Linked DNA regions of Xenopus tropicalis. The protein of the gene in region 2 interacts with the protein of the main gene of each other region in a biochemical or structural test. Links are inferred from orthologs where the notes say so. Each region holds a gene or a part of one and is shown on either strand. Other genes may lie near its edges.

Evidence for each region.
Region 1: the proteins of tcerg1 (region 2) and u2af2 form a complex in vitro, tested with the Homo sapiens proteins (2 studies listed by BioGRID). The link is inferred for Xenopus tropicalis from reciprocal best matches to the Homo sapiens genes TCERG1 and U2AF2.

The regions. Positions count from the first base shown.
Region 1 is NC_030683.2:104,045,952-104,049,781, reverse strand, and holds part of u2af2 (splicing factor U2AF 65 kDa subunit), read right to left. Parts: intron 3,648-3,830; coding exon 3,512-3,647; intron 3,420-3,511; coding exon 3,316-3,419; intron 2,340-3,315; coding exon 2,188-2,339; intron 155-2,187; coding exon 38-154; intron 1-37. UniProt on the Homo sapiens protein: Plays a role in pre-mRNA splicing and 3'-end processing. By recruiting PRPF19 and the PRP19C/Prp19 complex/NTC/Nineteen complex to the RNA polymerase II C-terminal domain (CTD), and thereby pre-mRNA, may couple transcription to splicing.
Region 2 is NC_030679.2:39,889,309-39,892,457, forward strand, and holds part of tcerg1 (transcription elongation regulator 1), read left to right. Parts: intron 1-888; coding exon 889-1,053; intron 1,054-1,353; coding exon 1,354-1,536; intron 1,537-1,625; coding exon 1,626-1,805; intron 1,806-2,257; coding exon 2,258-2,341; intron 2,342-3,149. UniProt on the Homo sapiens protein: Transcription factor that binds RNA polymerase II and inhibits the elongation of transcripts from target promoters. Regulates transcription elongation in a TATA box-dependent manner.

The DNA.
Region 1 (3,830 bases), on a different chromosome or scaffold from region 2:
ATTCGGCACAATGCCACTTTCCACAAGCTTTACTTACCTCCAAGAAGGCAAAGTTTTTGTCTTGATTGATCTGAACAGCCAGTACAGGATTTCCAGGCGCTTGAGTCAATCCACCAAGGCGCATCTGGGCATTAAAGAAATCCATCATTGCTTCCTGCAAGGTAAAAAGAGGAGAGAAATATAAGTGGTCTGATATCCCTGTTAATAGCAACAAAGAGCATGTTTAAGATCTAGAATGTCCTACTTGCCTTGCACGATGGTAGCAAACTTATTTTGCTACGAAGGGATTTCAGCCCCACAATTTTCACTTTAAAAAGAAATGGAAACAACTCTTTGATCTTGTTTTTCAAATAGAAAAGGTTTCTTTTAAATCAAAGTTGTTTATTGTTGTAATTCAACAAAAGCAGCCATTTCTGCAAAAACCATGCTAACTGCTGGAAAATTTGGAAAAAAGTTTGAGACAAACTCCATTAGAGTGCAGGGCCATAGTACCAGTTCCGAATAAAAAAAAAAAAAAAAAGCAAAAATGCGATACCCATTTTATAGATTAGAAATGTAGGGTTTAGCAATGTGTCACATGATCAAATGTGAAACAAATCATTTAAACACCATGGAGAAGGGACACCAAGTTTTGAAAAAACCCACCTGTAAGTTTTTCTCCATAACACCGAAAGACCAGTTATAAAGCCATTATAGCGTGCTTAAAGCAGCTGCCAAATACCTTACCTGTGTCAACTAGATTAAGAATACTATTTAACAGAACTCAATGTAACTGCTTTGTAACGGTCCATTTTTATTTAAAATGTATTAATGTTACAATTGCCTCAGACACTGGGTCTCAAACATGTTTCTCAGTAAGTCCCCAACTGCTAAGGACAAATATTGTATTACTGCCTGAGAAGAGATAAATAAGGTTTGCCCACTGACTAAGCAAATGATACACAAGGATATGCATTTAACTGGCCACATCATTTACACACTTTACACCAAATAATGCTTATTTGTATGTGGGCTTTCTGGCAAACAATTGAAATACATTAAGCAATAAGGACTTCATTCAGGATTTTGCAGGATTAGGGATGTGGTGGCTGGAGGATTTTTACCATTGATATCCCTTAAAGATCAGAAACCAAAAGACCAAATGTAGGAAGGGTTTTAAACGGTTTACAGTAAAAATTAAACTGGGGAAATAGATAGGCTGTGCAAAATAAAACTTTTCAATATAGTCAAAAATAAAGTCTACATAATTGCCAGAACACTAACTTCCTCCTTTGCAGTTCTCTTATCTGTTACAAGTTTGTAATCAGTAACTTGGGGGAATATGGGATATAACTGTTCCTTTAGATTGCTAAGGATCAAAAGCAAAGTAACTGAACAGTTGTCTTATGTGCCCCTCCAAGTCACTAAGAGGTTAGAGAGCTGCCAAGGAGGAAGTAGTTTTCGGATATGTTCAACATCCTCCCAACTCCAGCCTTTATTGATTACATTTTTGGCTATCAGAAACATTTTTTATTTTGCACTACCTATCTATACCTAGTACTCCAATGACATAACGCCTGTTTAACAATGGCCCTAAATAAAGAGTGACTTAACCAAACTCATACAGCTTAAATGAAAATAAGGGTGGTAGTATAAAGAGAAAGCAATGGATTGCTTATGTAATAATTCAAAGGTAGCTATCAATGCTGGTACCAGGATGGACAAAAAAAAAAAAAAAAAAAAAAGGGTATCTGAGATGGCACAGTTCTCTTGCAGAAACAACCTACGGCAATGTATATTTACCCATGATAGGGCACTGAGTAAAAGCCCAACTACAACTATTCAGAACAACGAATATTCAAACAAATCATATTTAAAAAATTTACAGACTGTATATTTGAAATCCTCGCCTGTCAGGGACTTACTGAGCACTTGTCTGAGAGCCCAAAATTCAGGTCCCTGCTTAAGAGCTGTATGCAGGAAAATTGTTAGTGCCACCAATACGGATAGCTTGAGACCAATAACAAAAGAAACTGAGATAAGAGAATGTTTCAAGCTATGAAATACTTATTAACCTAAGGGGCAAAGAATACCTTCATTAAGTGGTAAATAAAATGTTGAAGAAATGCTGAAAAATGTTTTGGTGCTGCCATTTCTCAACCTCAATACTTTACTATAGCTAGGAAATAGAATGGCTATAGCAAATACCTCAGTGATTCCAAATGGAATATTTCCAACATAGAGTCGACGGGCCTGTCTTGTCATCTGACTACCCACAACAGGCACAGGAGTAGGAGTAACTGCCAAGCCATCTGGTGTCATTGTTGGAAGGAGAGCAGTAGCTGGAATCTGACCCGCAGCTGAGGAAAAGATAAAAAAGTTACGCGAAATATAAATGGTCTGCAAGTGTACAAATTAATAGTGACATGTGACAGTCAATTGTACAGTTAATTTAAAACCAGAAAAAATATATCTAAACAAGACAGACAATACCATACTCAAGCTTACAAATATGTGAAGGTTTAGTACTCACTGTAAATTCATATTTTCTGCTTTTGAACGTATAGGTAATGTGGTGTAAAACTTTTGGCTGGGAAACTCAAGTTAGAAAATTATAAAGGGGAAGCAAAACAGCTGATATTGTCCTCCTTTTACTCCCGTCGAATGATATGCTGTTTTACCCCACAAGGGAAGTCTATGTGAAGAACCCCTTGTGCAATAAAAATGAATCCAAGCTGGACAGCTTTTCTGTAAAGCAAAATATTGCACTTACCTTTTATATTCACCTCTTCTCTGTGCTCAGTGTAGTTTCACAATGTAACTTGTGAACCGGAGCCCAAAATTTCACTGCCTGTTTAAGAGTATGGCCTAATGCAAGGGGCGGACTTACAACTTTCTCCTTTGATGCTATTCCCTTTTTGTACTCTAGGGGTATCTCTTCATGGTCTAACATTCATTTTTCCAACACAATGGCACTTAGGCTACATCAATAATTGTGTAGAAGAAGCTGCCCCTGATAATCAGTTTCCTTTTAACTTCCAAACACAGACATAACACAAATGATAAAGCAGATACTGCGATAAGCACAAAAACTGTACATTCAATCAGAATTCACATTTCAAATATATTACATGCAAGATTATCCAGAAGGCTCCAAAATAAATGCACAGAATCCTTGTTAAGCAAAGAGCTTTTATTTTGCAGTAATAAAACATACCTTTCAAACAAAAAAATATTAGTTACTCATTTAAATAGCAACGCTGTATTATGACCCTTAAAGCTTTCAAAAGCTAAAGTAAAAAGATGAGTATTAACTAAATGTTAAAAACAAATTACCTTGCATGGCTTTATACTGCATAGGGGTGATATGCTCAAAACCAGGAGGTGGAACATCCCAGTATTTACGGATCTTCTTTTTCTTCTCATGTCTTGGTGAGCGACTGGACAAAAAAAAAAAAAAAAAGGGAAGATTTAAGTCATGCAAGGGTTAGCATATTTACACAATAGTTTAAGAGACATCTACAAGTTTTACCTGCGTCGCCTTCGATCCCTGGATCCACTTCGCTGCTCTCTACCTCGCCTGTCTCTGCTACGGCTGCGGCGCTTCCGGTCTCGGCTTCTAGAACGGCTGTGACTACGTTTTCGATGACGATTTTCCTTGTCCCTTTCTAAAGATACCAGAGGAATGTTGCAGAAAATTATTCCACAAATCACAAGCTTGACTGTGCAATACATTTGACCAGCACTTTCTCTCTAGTATATGGAGGTAATAAACTTGTAAAATTCAGCAGAAAAAAAAAATGGACCCCCCCCCCCCCCCCAAAAAAGGACAGGGAATGTATTTCTAACCT
Region 2 (3,149 bases):
TGTGTTTTTCATTTTTGACTTTTGTTTTTGTCTCTTGAGTAGTCTTTTGGCATTTCTGTACTGTAGTGCAGCATGGTGCATCAGTGCTACGTAAACATTTATACATGTTATAAACTAGGGATGCACCAAACCCACCCTGATGGATTGTTCTGAATCCTAATTAGGAATTAACCCCGCACACGGCAAAACCCCCCTAAAATGTAACCCTTTCTGAATGTTAATTAGCATATGTTAATTTATGCTAATTAACATCAGGTTCGGCCGGGGCTATTGATTCAGCCGAAACCGAATCCATCAAAAGCTGGATTCGGCCCAAATCCCGAACCAAATCCAGGATTCTGTGCATCCCTATTCGGCAACAGTTTTTAAATTGCCAAAAATATCCGCCCTACGCCACATCTGCCATCAGCCTGAACGAACAGTTTTTATTTGCCATCACTATGGATTTAATTTAGTTATGAAGTATAAAGTGTTGTTTTATTACAGAGAAAAAGCTTATACATTCAAAATAGAGAGTGGTTTGGGAACTATAGAAAATGTCAGTCCTGTTTTTCAGAGCTTTCTGGCTTACTGGTTTCTAGACAATAGAACCATAGCTGTATTTAGAATGAAAAGCCAGGTTGGTTAGCATTGTGTACAGTATTGGTTCCTACTAACTTATTTTTAAACATTTAACAATACCTCATACTGTTTTGTAGGCACATATAACAGTAGTAGGGAAGTAGTGCCCTTGCCTAATTAGAAATGTTTCCAGTATGTAAGCCATGAATGGTGCAAAACATGAATATTGCAGGAAGCAGTTTTCTTGCTTTATTAGGAAAGCACTACTTCTCTCCCAGCAGTACAAGTATCAGCACGCTTATAATTTAACCATTTTATCAAATATAGGTCCGATCGGACTTCTTTGACTTGTTATCCAGCCTTCATTTAGACGGACAGTCTCGATGGAGCAAAATCAAGGACAAGATAGAGAATGATCTCCGTTACAAAGCAGTGGAAAGTTCAGCGGCAAGAGAAGAGCTCTTTAAACTGTATATAGAAAAGATTGTAAAGGTATGTTAGGTTATCATGTAAATAGCTGTTCATCCCATTTTTAACAAAATAATCCTTCATAAATGTTTTTTCCTATTTATTACAGCCAGTATGTATGCCATTTTATGTGGACATTAAAACAGCATGGTTTTATATTTATTCACCTGGGTTTTGAGGTTTGTTGAGACTCAGCCTTGTCAGGTTGTACCTGACAGAATTGACAAGTTGTGCCTGATGGTCTTATTTAATCCTTTAATACCAGTCTGGATTTTTGGACTTTTTCATGAAAATAAGTATCTTCCATTTTATTCTAAATACCAGAATTTAGATACAGAAAAGGAGAAAGAGCTGGAAAGACAAGCTCGCATTGAGGCAAGTTTACGTGAAAGAGAGCGGGAAGTGCAGAAAGCTCGCTCAGAGCAAACCAAGGAAATTGACAGAGAACGAGAACAGCACAAGCGAGAAGAAGCAATCCAGAATTTTAAAGCCCTTTTGTCGGATATGGTAATGGCTTGTTAGTTATTTGATCACTCTGCACTGATTGGTGGGTGCATTTCATGGGAATTCATTTTTGGCATTTGATTGTTTTTTAGGTGCGGTCATCTGATGTTTCATGGTCTGATACAAGAAGGACATTGAGGAAAGACCACAGATGGGAATCTGGTTCCTTGCTGGAAAGGGAAGAGAAGGAGAAACTTTTTAGTGAACACATTGAGGCGCTTACTAAAAAGAAACGAGAACAGTTTAGACAGCTGTTGGATGAAACATGTGCTGTAAGTCGTACTGATAAAATGTGTGCATTATTTTCCTGTATCAGGGAAACAGATCCCACAGAACTGTGGCTGTTGCAGATCCTTAGATTTTTTTTTCTTGCTGCAAGCTAAGGATCATAAAATTGCAGTGTGTCTTAGTTCTTCTGTAGTTTTACTGATTTGTTGTGTTTACCCGAGTCCTAGCATGGCAGTTTAAGGGCCACTGTCATCCCTTTCCAGATCCTTCCGTTGACAGAGTATTGCTTCCCCCCATCCAAAAAGTGTGATACCTTACTATGTGTAGACTTCATGTGCCCTGTTTCTACGACATGCCCATCTGCAGAAATCTCTTAATACTATACAGTATGTTATTGTGGTTTCTAAGTGAAATAAATATACGGCAGTATATAACTAATACACCTGAGGGTGTTATTAAACTGATTATTTACTGTGTGTAAAATGATGTGTTTTAGATTACTTTAACATCCACTTGGAAAGAGGTTAAGAAGATTATAAAGGATGATCCACGCTGCATTAAATTTTCTTCAAGTGACCGGGTAAGGGTTCCCTCTCTAACTTTCATTTCTTTCTTGCATTATGTTTTTCCCCAGTTTGTTTGGCTTCCATTTATTTCGTTTTTTTTTTATTATAAACAATAGCAGGGTTATCTTTTATTCAGTGTGCTTAACATTCCTCATCTGGTTATTCCCCTTTACAAAACAGTGTAAGGGATATGTTTATTTGCTTACCTACCTAGAAGTATTACTTATTCCAATTATTCCAATTAGAAACAAACGTTGGACTGAGTAAACATTTTTTTATTTTCACTTGATCTTGTGTACAAATTCCTGCAAGTGCTGTCACTACCTGTGAAAATGTCTATTACAGTACTGCACTGGCACCCAGGTATTATCTTGTGCTGATGTTGTGCTGCTTACCGGCTGTTTACCCCCAAATCCACCGTAAGGGATTTGGCTGAATCCTGAAATTAATCCTAATTAGCATATGCTAATTAGGATTTGGAAGGGTTAAAACATCTTTCACTTCCGTGTTAACATGACAAAAAGTCATGTGATTTTTTTGGATTTGTTTCGGCCAGGACCATGGATTTGGCCAAATACTGAACCGAATCCTGGATATGCAAGATTACACGTAGGGAGGACAAGTAGTATAATAAATACAATAAATAATAATAAATAATACTCCGATAAAATGCCATAGGTGTGGTATGAGACACAGTAGAAGGGAGGTCCCTGCCCCGTAGAGCTTACAATCTAAGTGATTGGGTAACATACAGGCACAATTGGAAGGCAAGAGTGCACAAGCTATGGGAATTTGCTCTTAAGCACAGGACTAGACAAAATG